2 linked regions of the Lepisosteus oculatus genome follow. The protein of the gene in region 2 interacts with the protein of the main gene of each other region in a pairwise test. Links are inferred from orthologs where the notes say so. Each region holds a gene or a part of one and is shown on either strand. Other genes may lie near its edges.

Region 1 (7,270 bases), on a different chromosome or scaffold from region 2:
CTCTGTGAACAATAAAATCCGAAAAACATCTCAAGGCAAGATGACAAATAAAGCCAAAACGGCATTGAATTTAATGAGTTTAGTAACTACAGCACAGGGGACCTCAGAAGGATTTTGCTGTCAAGGTAAGACACACATAATCATAAGCAACTTGATTCTGTCAGGTGGAACCTGTTTCAGTCTGTCTGTTTCCTGTCAGGAAGTCGTAGATGGGGAGCACTTACAGCGCCTCGTCTTCGCTGTCAGCACACAGCGCCAGTCTGGAGCCATCCTTCAGGTAGACCAGTACCAGGCATTCCCTTGGCCTGCCCTCCGGAGGGTCCACACCTGGAAGGGGCATGTGGAGAGGTGAGGGAGTGTCCTGGTCTATTACAGTTCTCCACTTTCGCCAACAACGAAAGCCAACATGGGGTTTCACACCATCGATTTCCGAGGACTGAAGGCAGTGCTCGGGCCAGGACAGAAAACAGTGTCCCTCCAAACAAGCATTTCTATTGTACTCTGAAGAGCTTGATTTATTGGACACATATTGAATCCAAGAAAGAAGTGCAGTATGTGACAATCAATATATATATAATCTATATATTTTATCAAATATATCATTACCATCTCTTAGATGTTTTTTTATATTTAGTAGTGCATCTTTATATATGGAAACAGAGTGGATGGTGGGAAGTACTGTTACCTTTAGCAACCTTAATTTGATTTGGCACCCTGTGTGTGGAGTTTGCATGTTCTACTGTGTTGGCATGGTTTTTCTCAAGCTGTTCCTGCTTTCTCCTACAGTCTAAAGACAGACTGACTAGTAAATTAGGTTAATAAATGTCTCTTTATTGTCTGACCCTGTGTGTGTATGTGAGCCCTGCAATAGACTGGTGTCCCTTCCAGGATGTGCTGACTTGCCTCATGCCCTATACCTGCAATAGGCTCTGCAATGCTGCAGCCATTACCAGAATGTGTTTATCTCAATGAGTTGATGGATATGGATAACTGTGACCAGTATGACTCCTAGAAAAAAAGTACTTTGTTGCTTGAAAATGTATTCTAATTAATTGGGTCGAAGACGGTCCAATATCTATAAGTGGTACACTAAGATTTTTAAAGCTCTCCATTTAGAAAGACTGAGTGCAACAGTGAGTGGAAATGAAAAGTAATTTTTTTTAAAATGTGGCTGGTTTTCTTGCCCTGAGTCCCTAATGACTGTCAGGTATAATTGGAAATAGGCAAGTGTTTCTGAGCTAGAATAAGTGAGACATTATTTAAGGTATACAGACCACAAGACACTCTGTTAAATAACTGCTTCATTAATTTTCTTTTGCTTTGGTCATTTTTTAATTGTTTCTAATGTATGATTTTTCCTTATATATGTTCTTTTTTTCTGTTTCAATATTGAGAAGCTACTAAGGTTTTCTTGAAAGAAATAAGCGTAGTTAAGATAGAGGATTTGAGGATCAGCTGTGCGTATCTTACCTGCACATTCAAGTCCAGCCTTAACAGCGACACATTTATGCTTTAAGCGGACCCTGTTCTCATAGTCTCTCCGGCTCTCGTCTTCATAATACAGCAGGTTTCCGTCCACCCACAAGTCGAACCAGTTTTTCTTCCAGCGCCGGAGCACAGAACCTTGAAGAAGAATGCAGGTAATGCTGTCAAATTCTGAGGAATTACCTGCGTGTGCCGGTGACAAAGCCATCGGCTGAAAGCCTGCTGCTTGGGCGTGAGACACATCTTTCCATCGGTTTTATCCAGCTCAGGGCTGAGGGGGAACTGGAGCCAATCCCAGCAAGCAATGGGAGCAAGGCGGGATACACCTTGGGCAGGAGGCCAGTCCATCGCAGGGCAGATAGACACCCCAGGGACAATGGTTATACTGACAGTAAGTCTTAGGACTGTGGAAGAAAATAACAGCACCTGCAGGAAACCCACACAATCATAGGCTGAACTTACAAACTCCACCCAGATTGCAACCCAGGATCCCAGTGCTACAAGGCAGCAATGCTAGCCACTGCGTCATCGTGCCACACACTAGTCTATTTCTTGATAAATTACTAAAATTATGTAATCTCCATCCCTTTGGGCGATGTTGCTGGCTGGCTTCCTCCTTTAATATTTTTCTTCAGCCTTTGTCACAAATAAGTAATAGGATTAGCATCGGGTCATAAGGGTGCCGGTTTCATAACTGATGACCCTCATTTTTTACATTCCTTTAAACTTAATGGAGCTATCACCCTTCCCAAGGTTATAACAAAATACTCATCCTTTGATAACTGGATTTTCATGACCATTATAGGAATAACAAAAGTAGTATGACTGATGTTTTCTTATTCACATCCTTTCATTGTATAACTACTGTAACTTTGTTTGTATTGAGAGGCATTACAATATGTACCAAATGTGTACTGGGACCAATAGCACGTGATGTGTTTTTATTGTCTGTCAGTATATAATTCATCCTTACAAAACATATCTTGTGTCAGCCTTTACCTTTGTATACAAAATTTACATGAATTAAATTTTCAAAAATTATATTCTTATTTTTGGTATTTAAAAAACCCTCGTGTTTGGTTTATCTATAAAAACACTACTTTGAAAGGAATCATGTGCCGCACTGCTAGAGTATAGAGTTCTCTATTCGAGTTGTTTTACATTATCTGAACTTTATGTTCTATTTCTTTTTGTGGTACTACTTCATGTTTTCTTACAGCTTGTAGAGCAATAATGTTCTGTCCCCTATTGTTAATTAAGCATCATACACTTCAACTAGAGGAAAACTAATCAAAGCAGTTAAGACAGTTAACGATAAATCAAATGTCCACTTACTTTGTCTCCAAAGCCATCCTGACCTCATGAGAGCCATCTGGGGAAATTATACCTAACGTCGCCTTTAAAGTGTGACGATGAACAGTGGGAAAACGTGTCGGGAAGATCTCCTTTTGATGTTGATGACTATTCTAGGGTTTTGCTCCCTGGTTGCACAGTTCTGCTAATCGGGGAAATGGTCCCAGAGAAGGAAAGACTGCGACTCTTTGTTTTCTTCTGGGTCTCTCTGAGGCTCCCTTTAATCTCGCTGCTGACACGTGGGATAATGCGGGATTAGTGACCTGCATTAGCCTGTGGACATTGAGAAAAGCCTGGAACTTTCCTGCACAAACAGCCCTGGTCTTCCTCCGCAAGTTCCAGATTTAGAACCGACGTAGAGCTTCTGTTTAGAGCTTCCATTTAGATTTCCTTGCTAACCGTAGATCATACACACTAAACCTAAAAGCAACAATAATATCATATATTTCAGCCCTAATTTAGACACACTTTATTTCGATGCTTTTACAATACATTTGTTTTGGGAGAGGCTGGGCCATTTCTCATTTTTGCTATTGCACTGACTGCATGTTGATGTAAAATATTTTGGAAGGTAGATCTGGTAAATGCCTCTGTGCAGCTGGTATGGATGTTAACCAGAGGCACATGACCTAGGTATGAAACATGAAATAAATGAAACGGTGAATCAAACTGACATTAAATTAGCACTCAATCCATGGAAAGTGTTAGGCATTCTTAAAATTGCATTTTATATTAAAAGTTACTTATATGGATGTAACTCAGAGTGTAGTTTTTGTTTAAGGTTTTGTAGGCTATGAGGTTTGGAAATAAAATGGAACTTACAGTAAATGGAAAAAAAAGACGTGACTATGAAAGATATGAAGATGAAGTTAAGTAATTTTAAACAAATACAAATCCCAGCATGCACTGTATGTACAGTAGAGACCACCTGAGATACAGAAAGAAGACAAGTCTTGTAAGGTTGGGTCATTAAGCTCTTATGTTGTAAATCCCTGACTAATACAATTCAAATGACTCATCAGGTTGTCACAAATACTGGACTCACATGACCACGTTCCTACATTCTTGATGACTTTATCTGTTACTATTTTGCTCCATTTGGGCATTTTAGAACTATTTCTATAGTCAAGGTAGCTGAATAGAATGGAAAAATGATGAATAAACTAAGCAGAGGCCAATCGATGTGCGGCAAAACCTAATGCAAATCAAGAGTGCAGCTCTGCAAAAATAAGAAAAGAGCACTATCTGACCGGTGAATCACTGGAGTCCACAAGGCAATATGTTGAAGCTGTTGTAAATGAAGTTTTACCACACTTTTTAACAACAAGGTACCAAACACTGAAGACTCCCAAGTATTCCAACACTACAAATCCAGTTCTTCTGTTTTAGCAAACTGTCACACCATTTCATTTCCAGTGCAGAACATGCAGTGTGAACTATTATTCCTTCTTTTTTGCAGAAAAAAGGGCTATTTTACCCTGAGAGTTTAAATTACTAGATGTTTATATCATTGGAAATACCTTGTGTGTTGAGGTTGATAATAAAGACATAGAATATTAGATGGTTTATCACAAGAGGCTCTAAATGTGTATCTTACTGTAATCTTCCATACGTTTTGCAGATTTAGTGCTGCAAAATAAAAGACTTATGTATTAAATCTTCAGGGAGTCTACACCTAGTCAGTATGATATCTTAATGTCTTAATGTAATCAGTGCTGCCATTCAAGTGCTATTAATTGTTCAGCGGTCAGATCTGTGGTAGGCTCAGGACACACAGACAGCCACAGCTTGCAGCTTATCAAATGTATCCTTGACTCATGTCCCCTGCAGTGAATCTGGTTATTCTTTCAGGATATCTATGGTTTGCTTGATTTCAAACGTCTGATGTCCTGAACAAACGAAAAGGTCAGACTTCGGAGGTCTCTATAGAGAATAAAATTGTGGGCTGTCTGCCTCGTTTATCCATTTCTGGGCAGCGGGCCAAAATAAAGAGATCAAAGGGTTTAGGCCTTTAGCACAGTGATGAAGATTTGTCTTTTGTAGTACACATCTCTGCCACAAGAGGACGCTCACCAAATGCTCACTCAGACCTCGTAGAAATTGCCAAAACCGTTCGTTCGTTGCCAAAAATAATGAGATTAATGAACACCATAGAGAGTTACCTGGATTATGTTTTTTTTTTAGAAAAGGTGCACTTTACGCCACTCTGTGTGTTTTGAAGTCATTACTGGATTTATAATTAAATCTTAAATAGACAAAAGTTAAATATGCTCAAAGGGACTGTGGATTTTCTGTGCAGAACACACACTGGCAATTGATTCTATTCCGTTACAGTGTGAATCCTCTGCAGGAAATAAGTCTCAAAATCCGCTTCCATTATTGACCACACAGGGGTGATAACGCAATATTGGTCTTCTGTGGCTCTAAAGCCTGAAAAAAGCTAAATTTACCGTCATATCTATGTCATAATATTTTGAGTCAGGTCAAACGTGGCTTCAGTTTTGCATATTTTTTTGCTAAACTTAATCAAAACATTCACGTCTAGATTAACTGAATTGCTTTTAAACGATGTTGAAGATTTTTTACGGTATTAAGTCCTGATTAAATCAATTAGAGCGAGCACACGCTCAAGCAGTGCTCAAGATCTGCTCTTAAAATCTGCCCGATGTGTTGTGAGTTCAGTTGATTGCTCTAATAAACTGTTTATGATCTCCCAATAACCACTCGGAATCTGAAAACGTCGGGGTTTGTCTCACCTGGGCACTGCGCTTGCTTTCTAGTCTGATAGTATTTCTTTTCTGCAACAGACCCCATTGGTCATGTTTGGATGAGATAATAACAGACACATCTTGGTATTTTCAGATATTACAAATATGTGCACTCTGCTTCAAACGTATTTAAAGGATCGGTAGAAATATTATTTTTCAATCTGCTTTATGAATTGCTGGCGCACCTAGTCGTAGAGGGTGGCTGCTTTTCAATTGATATTGTCCCTGCAAAGACCACTGCAAGCACAACCCATAAGCGATGTGACCGCTGGTGCAGTATACGTTCATCCAAGATTGATGATGATGATGGATAAAATAAAATTAATACAATTTGTTTCAGCTCTCAAGGACAATAAAACGTTAAGTAGATCACTTATCTGGCCAAAAATGGGGTGAATTTAAAGAGTCTACACCCTGTGTCCTCCTTACTAGATTCTGTCTCAGGTTTTACATACAAAAAGTATTGGGTCCTACATATCCTAGTTCTTCATTCCCAGTCACATAACCGAACCCCTAATTGACACGATTTACGTGAACCCATTAACTGTTTCCCCTTCCAGCTTTTGCGAAGAAATAAATAACTTGCAAAGGTTTCAGCCAAGCAGTTCGCTAGTTCAATGAAGGATTCAATGAAAAGAAAAGCTCGAGTGGGTAGGAGCCCCCTGTTCTAGAACACAATGTCTTCTAACATCCACCCGGGACGTGGTTCTTTTTTTTTTTCCACGATCACGCCCGCGTCATGGATCCTCTGACACATAATACAAAATGGCCATTAAAATGTAACACATATATAACATGGCTGTTCGTCGCAAAACGAACTAATTTCATGCTCGGGGAGGACATTTCCCAGGCTATAAAAAAGAACAGCGTCTCGTTGAAACACTCCTAGAAAGACTACTAAAGTCATATATTAAAAAAACAAGCTCAACGTCATTGTCCCACTGATTAAAAATGATGCACACAGCAATTTGCTTGAAAGGCGCTAGTTTCCCCCATGTCCACGACCACGTCACTAGTGTGCGCCATGATACGCGAAGGGACAGAGAAGGGGGAGGGGGGAACAGTCTCTGTTTGTTCGTGTAATTTGACGTCACAGAGAAAAGGTCCTCCTCCAATTTGCTTGACCCCCCCTTCCTCTCCTTTCTCCCCCCTCCCTCGCCTCTCGGTATCCCCATCCCCCACATTGTGTATGCGTGTGTCTCTGTTACCAACACTGACTGCAAGCCCGAAATCGCTGGAGCAAAGCGAGCGAGAGGAGGAAACCGCCAGCGTTCATAGAGAGAAAGGAGAATACGCACAACACAGTAGTGCTCGGAAAGAGTCAGAGGAAACTGGGAATAAAGTCGATCAATCCAACTGGATTACCACGGGTAAGAGAGGATCGCTGTGTGTTGATGGTCTGTGTGTATCCTGCTAATGCGTTTTTTTTTTCCCCTCTTAAGTGTCCAAACCTGGAATGCAGTCATGCAAACTGGAAAATATGAGAAATGGAAATGGTTCGCGCATTGAGGGGTCAGAGGGGGATAAAGGACATAACGATCACAAAAATTAAAAAAAAAATATATTACTTATAGGACATTAGCTATCGTGTTGTGTGCTCTCCTTCCATCACGTTAACACACAGGCAGAAGATACTGTACACACTGAGGGATACACAGAGATGC
Region 2 (7,409 bases):
TTCCACATTTTACACCTTACTTCAACTTTCCTGCATTGCAAATGTGAACACAAGAGTGCTGCAGTTACTGTTTTTCTGTCAGGATATTTATATCAGGAATATAGCGAATCTCAAAAATCAGATGTCCTAAATTTCATACAACTAATGACACTGCCAGGATTTCTTTGTTAACTACAAACATACAAACCTTGCAAGAAACATTCAGTACCACCGATAGCACTCCCTTGAGTTACCGATCGCTCTCAACTATAACAAAAGTTCAGTTGGTCTGAGTAAAAGCTATATGTGTCTGTTGAAAGTATCCTTTCAACATTTTGTTATGTGACATCTACAATAAAACATTTTTGTGGCTATATTTTCCGATTTTCAGGGAATGTAACTTCCTACAGATCTATCCTGTGAAACGTGTTTTCTGTAGTTTGTTGTTTCCTTTCAAGGTTAATGACATCACTACCCCATGGGCCAGTGCCATGTTAGTGCCTTTCCACCGAATATACAAAATTGATATTGGTCCATTGGTATTGGTTCCAGGCTATCATCAGAAGAACCTTTCCTTTCTTATGAGAGAAGGGGAGCTTGGAGTGATTTATTACCATCAGTTGCTCTCTTGACAGCATGCTTTTGGCTTTGCTGAGATTTAGACACTAATCATGTAGTGGTAAAAAGGATGACTCTCGGGACAACAGATAAAGCTTTTCTGACCTTGGTTCTGTGACTAATGATTTTATGTCCAAGGAAACTTGTTCCTGCTACTGTATATGGCTTCTTACAACAATCTTTTATTTTTTCTCAAACAAATCATTCATTTGTATTACTTAGTCCAATTTAACTCTCTGACTGTTCAACCTTCCTAAAACCTTTCAAACACGCAAGATTATTCTGGATTTGGATTCCTAGCTCCCAACAATGGCAGAAGCATTTTACAATGAGCTGACGTGTTGACCTTTTCTTGAGTTGGTATAACCTCTTGTCCTCATTCTTGTCCTCAACTTCATTTTTTCTCTGCTTTTCACCTTTGGCTGCAGTAGGTCTCTACTTACTTGGGATTATGTTGTAATGTTCTCCTCTTAGGTGTGGATATAGTCCTCTTCAGTGATGCAGAAGACCGACTGTCTTTGCATTTAATCAACCACTGATGCCGAGTACCAGCTATCAAATATGGTGCTAACAATTTACAGTACTTCTGGCACCGATTGTACGAGCAGAGTACTGACCATCAAGATACCAACCATTAGATGCCCCCATTGTGGTGAGAGAGCTACTTTTCCCTTTAATTGACTCACAATGCAAACGAGGCACTGTTATTGGGATGCCCCAATAATTCTGGGACATTCGTTGGTAAGCAAGAATGAAGGAACTCTTTGTCAAATCCTTGATCTCGGGTGGCTAAACAGATATCTATTTAGCTCTGTATTTGAGAGGCTTGTCTTATCTCATGTGCTAGTGTGAAAAGAGTCCTGTCGCTGGCTCCGTGGAGTCTTTCCAAGTGAATGGCTGTGGCCCCGGCCCTTATTCATGAGCGCTGGGAATATAAATGCTTAACTACCTTGAAGACGGACAAGTTCTCAGTTGAACCAAGTTGGAGGTGAACACAACAGGTTATCTTAATGTTAGATCATGCAACAGCACTGGGACAGAGAGATTTGGTGGATATTTGCGTGACGGGACTGTGTCTAAAACATCATGGTGGAACGCCTGTCCACAGGATGGCTGAATGGAGACGGTGCTTCCGTCTGGAGGCAATAGAAATGATTTGGAGTCTTTATACAAGAATGACTGTGGCCTTGTTTGACATGATATGTTTGTTCTTCTGCCACCTTGGTTCTTTCTACAGGAGTTCTGTAAGGCCGGGTACCCTGATGCACAAATAGCCTCCAGAGTTACTTTATGCCTTTCTTCTACTGGTGCTGTGTGATCGTCGTGGTTCTGGCGTCTCCGGCGTAAGGCAACAGGGCACCAACCGTGTGAGCTAAAGGAGACCTCCCTCAGCCCAGGCAGCTGAGGTCCCTGTTACGCGCAGGAAGAGCGCTGATGTCACTGCACTAGCTCCGCTACACTGCTCTCACATTGTCACCTTACACACAAAGAAGAGTGTGTCCAAGTGTTGGGCACTGCTTACTGAAGTGATGTTGGTCTAAAACACCACTCAAACAAGCAGCCGGTGCCACATCTTGAACCATCTATGACGGGATTTCTGCTGAGGCCCTCTGCACGGAAGCTTTCCCCTCCTAGCATGTCCACTTCCTACAGGCTGAGTGGGATGGAGGCAGTGCAGCCATCAGTAGAGTTTAGGGCTTTGCATTCTGCCTCGAAGTCTATTCATGACCCATCACCACCATGAACTTTGATTTTTGCCCTTGAGGGAACACCTGAATTTCCTTTCAGGGAGCCAATTCTATCAGGGTACCGAGAGCAGCCCCGTGATTTTTCTGCTGCAAAACGTCAAGATGTTACAGTCTGGAGTCTTGTTGCACATCATTTGAACAGGACTTGGTTAGGCAACAGAATAATGAAATGTTGGAGTGGGAAGCTATACCAGTGTGAGAAGGTTGCAAAGGAAAACGTTATGGTTATACCTTTGCTGACGAATAGAAAGGAGAGAAACAACATTTTGGCTGTTGGGCCTTCTGTACAACATGTTGAGCCCTATGCCAAATGTTCTAGTCAGTCCCAGAAGGAGACTAGTTCACATACATTCATCAATCTGAATGGTCCACACATCTAAAATGGCCTTCTGCTGAGGCTGCTGAGCACACCAGAAGAAGGCTCAGCAGCCCAAATGTTGTTGTTCTCCTTTATACTGTATTTGTCAGCATGGAATTGATGTTTACTTGATTCTTTTTCAAACTTATAAGGTGCTGGAGGACCAGGCAAGATTCTAGCAACAGCTATGAATACCAGACCTTATACCACCAGATTTTTTTTTTTTAGAAAGGAAAGCTTGAAGTATCAAGGTCACTGATAAAAATCACGAATAATATATCAAGAACTTTGGATTTGAAAGACGATGCATGACATGGAAGTTCAAACATGTTACATTAATCAGATCTATGATTTGTTGCAATTGTTCTTTCTGAACTATCATAAGAGTGCAACAAGTGTACACAATTACATTCTGAAAAGATTGCCAGGTACAGTATAATATGTGAATTTTGATATACAGTAACATAATTAAATATAACATGCTATAATTCTAACCTCAATTCGTATTAAAGTCAAATATTGACTTAATTGTATTTGGCTAGTCCTCCTTTCTTTTCTGTTTATGATATCTTTTGCAATTATTTCTCTTTTCTATGGGGCATATTGTTAAGTAACAAAGGGGGTGAGACACACAACAGGCGTTTGCTGTTTCCCAATTCCCCAGGAAAGATCCTGCTGAAAGTCCTCTTCGAACTGTTTGTAAAAAGTGAGAGAGCTATTCCCATTTGCCCGAAGGAGACAATGTAGCTGTCTACGGAAAACACATTTTTCTATAGTGAAAATAACGTTTTACAACCGCAAATGTTAGTCTTGCATAAATCAAGAAAAGCAGGAATACCACTGCAACAATTTCTCCTTCATATACTTGTGATACCGTATATCTTGGCAATGCTGTCATTTAAGTGAATCCTAAAAATACGAAAGATGGTTAGCACTGCTGAAAACTGTCCGTTTGCTTCATTTTATACTTCCTTTTGAGAACGGTAAGATATTAAATCTGGAACTTTCAAAAATAGGTCTCTTGTAAAAAAAACACTACGAACTCTACTCCACGAAAAGCAACATAACAAGGACATATTTCTTCTGGAACAAAAATAAAAGTTTAGAAAAAATAAATGTTGGCACATGGTATTCAGCAGCTGTCCCAGTTTATCAAACAGGGTGACCTAAAAGCATTGTGCTGTGAATTCAGATAATGGTGCTGTATTCCCAGATGACTACAGGTAAGCCAGACATGGTGCATTCTTGCGTAATTAGAATTTATTGGCGAGGGCCCGTGAACTAAATGAAGCAGTATCGTTTTTGTTTGATCCGCATTTAGATCCACTCTCTGCGAATCATAAGCACAAAAAAATGCGTCCAGCCTGTGCAGAACCTTAAATCGCATTTGTAACGAAAACTAAAAAAATAGGTGCGTGAACAGAAATCAATGAAAATTATGCTGTAAGACCAGATATGACACTAGTAGTGACATGTGATGTGTCAGTGAAGTTCAACTACTACCTGCAAGGCAGACTTCAAAGACCTCAGCGGTGCAAAGCACTCATAACCCCAAGCCGCGAAGCAGGGCGTGGCCCAGGCGGATGACGCCGCCTTTGTCCAATCAGCAGCGGAGCAACTCCCTGCCGTGCAGCCAAGTGGCCAATCAAGAGCAACGCGAGGGGCGGGCTCTCACCCTGTGTTGGAGTCGGTGCTCTCTAAGCTGCAACCCGGCTAGAGTAGAAGGAAGTAAATAATTAGATGGGAGGATTGATGTCATTTCAGTGTTTACGAAGATCAGTTTCCCCTGGCAGAATTGCATAACCCGAGTCCATTAACTTTGCGGGGTCCCCGTGTCTGTGCGTGTAAAGCAGCAGCGATTTCCGCTGGTGTGCGGGACTGTGAAGTGCACTGCTTTGCTTACTGGGGACGCCGCGGTGCGGGTTTAAGGTGGGCCTTGCCCGGATGTCTATGTGACTAAAAATCCCGGCACGGTCATCTCCAGATTAAAAAAAAAATAAAACATTTTTTTTACTCAGTCGTCCAAGTCTTCGGCATCATCCGCATCCTAATAGTGTCTGGGACTATCGTGCATTTCACCAGCCGATATGGGTAAGTCCTAACAAAATGATATGCGCTATGCGAAGTTCTAATATAGATCAAGTTCATATTGGTGGGGCATCGCTGAAATACTGTTGGTAGTTCGTCAAGCAGCCAAAGCTTAATCTTTTTGAATGTATCAGGCTTCTTTGCAAGAGGCGTATTACTGCAGCGGGTTGGTGGGGTGACCGTATCTTTTTTTTAGCAAATTAACGTTATTCTCTCATATGGAACATCTTGTTATCTAATCATGGTCTTTTCTCTGCCCAACACGAATAAATGCGCACTCACACTGATGGGGCTGGTTTCACATACAGAGTGGACTATGTAGGTGAACTGGTCTAGGACAGAGGCTGATTAAAAGGTCTGGGGGCTAGACCATAATATTTATATCCTACATTTGTAACGTTTTGTGGTGATTTATCCATTTCTGTTGCATTGAGATGAATAATTATTTGACTTTTCTATAATTTTATTTTTTGTGTGTTTACTAAACCGTGCAAAGGTGACAATTACGTATTATGCATGTAGGTTTGTACATACTCCTAATAGCAAACGTTTTGCTTTGAATCAATTTGGAGTTGGCGTGTCCGGTAATTTGCTATATCAATGTGCAGTCTCCTATGGCAAAGGAACTGTATTTTAATATTTAATATTATTGCGTTACGCAATCCACGTGTGATTATTTTGCACACGTTTGCCTATGAAAAGGGTTCCTGGCGCGTGCAACTGATTAATGACGGCACTTGACAGAAAACACTTTGTTTATTGTAACAATCTGCATGTGTCTAACAATGTAAGGGCCGATCAACGCCTAATTTGGATACTGCTTTATCATCAAACATCTGTAAAGAGAAGGCAAGGGTTTTTATTACCTTATTTCCGGGAAAGGAGAGTAGTTATGGTCGTGTTTGACCTGATTCAAATTTATAGTTGCTTTATATTATGGTATGATACTGCTTGGATTAGAAGTATTTAAAACTAGTGTACAGCATGTGGTTTTGAGTGCAGATACATTAAATGAAATGTGACTTGTACAAGGCATTTTATGCCTTGTTAGAGCACTGCATTATTTTTTTTTCTTAAAAGGATATAATAAAATACAATGGTGTGTCGTGTTTTGTGGTTGTGATTGGTTCTGGAAGAAGACAAATCCTTCTGAAAATAAACATTAAATGACTATTAGTGTGATGCCAAGATGTTGAGACACTGTTGCAGTAATCTGGGTCGGATACAAAACCTGATGATGCTTGTGGGCATTTTCTGAAAGTGAAAAAGAAGGTCTGGTTCACCAAACTCCTGCTGGTAAAGGAGACTGTGAAGTTGTTATATTTTTGGTTTATTTTTCACAGTCATGGTCCAATGTGTTGATCCTCATTCAAACGTGAAATATTTCTTCTGGATAAATCACTAAAGGGGCCCTTTGGGTAACGAGGTTTCAAATTAATGTTTCTTTTTTCCTTCAAGAGTGTTCATCCTGGTAAAGGACCTTATTTCAAGCCACTAGAGCAGGAAGTAAAGAAATTCACCACGGTTGGAGGCAATATTTTGTGTTCATTGTATTTGTCCCTGTTCAGTAAGGACATACTAAAGGAGGTACTCAAGATATGACCAATCTTGAGTTTTCTTCAGGTCTGTACAAAAATGCACTGATCTCTTTGTCACCTTAGTGAAGCACATAGTGGAGCTACATTGAGTGGCTTTGTGGAATAGCTTGCACATAGACAAAATATGAAGCTGTCTTCTGGTTTGGATACAGAAACTGAAAACATTGACACTCAAGTTCTCCTTTCATTATTTAATACTGCGTCCAAAAGAAATGGGAATCCATTGCTCTGCTTCTGGGGACATAATAGTCCATGTTTTTGTGTGCCACCTTTACTGAATAATTTTGTCCTCAGATACTCGGTGCCTTGCGTTGCATTTGAGACTCTCACATTGTCACTGTTCTGGGACCTCATGTAATGGCTGTGAGATCTGTTCGATGTGCTCCACCCAAAGTCTTCAAATGACGTTTGAGAACTTGGAAGAATGGAGAACTTGGCCTGTGAGTTTGGTTCTCCAGGACACAGAGCCTCCATACACCCGTGAAGGTGTTGAGACCATGTGTGCTATATTGCACCCTCCACACATCCCCATGCTACCCCCTGCTCTCCAGCAACTGAGAGAGATTGTCTTGACTCAAATATTTTAATTATTCCTGACATCTCTGTACATGATTCATCCAGTACTGTTGTAAGGTGGTTCCGTGATACTATTGCATAATTGATCTAGATTGTCTAGGTATAGAACTGCAAGTATCTTAGTAAATTTTCCTTGAAGTTATCATCTAGTTGAGAATTCCTGCGAGGAATCCTGGAGAATTGTGAAATGTGAAAGTTTGCTTTAGAAACCTTATCTTTCCCCATGTCCGTGTCAGGTCGATCGTCATTTTCATGGGACGTCCATAAAATCCATTTCTGTTTCCATCCTTTTTCCAACCCCTTCATGCAATTCAGATTCATGGGGGGAAGAAGAGCCTATCTAAGGGGCTCAAGGCGGGGTACTCCCTGGGTAGGTTTAGAGTTGGGGTTAACCCATAGACAAGCACGCACTCACACCAGGGCCAGTTTTCACTGAAGCCAATG

The links. The genes of interacting proteins can lie anywhere in the genome.
Region 1: the proteins of rap1gds1 (region 2) and plekhb1 interact in binary tests that used the Homo sapiens proteins (3 or more experiments, as listed by UniProt). The two-hybrid records come from large-scale screens. The link is inferred for Lepisosteus oculatus from reciprocal best matches to the Homo sapiens genes RAP1GDS1 and PLEKHB1.

Annotation. Positions count from the first base shown.
Region 1 is NC_090700.1:9,518,537-9,525,806, forward strand, and holds the start of plekhb1 (pleckstrin homology domain-containing family B member 1), read right to left. Parts: upstream 3,080-7,270; 5' UTR 2,858-3,079; coding exon 2,821-2,857; intron 1,624-2,820; coding exon 1,471-1,623; intron 328-1,470; coding exon 225-327; intron 3-224; coding exon 1-2.
Region 2 is NC_090696.1:65,941,680-65,949,088, forward strand, and holds the start of rap1gds1 (rap1 GTPase-GDP dissociation stimulator 1), read left to right. Parts: upstream 1-4,360; 5' UTR 4,361-4,632; exon of another isoform or gene 4,633-4,721; 5' UTR 4,722-4,790; coding exon 4,791-4,794; intron 4,795-7,409. UniProt on the Homo sapiens protein: Acts as a GEF (guanine nucleotide exchange factor) for the Rho family of small GTP-binding proteins (G proteins) that stimulates the dissociation of GDP to enable subsequent binding of GTP.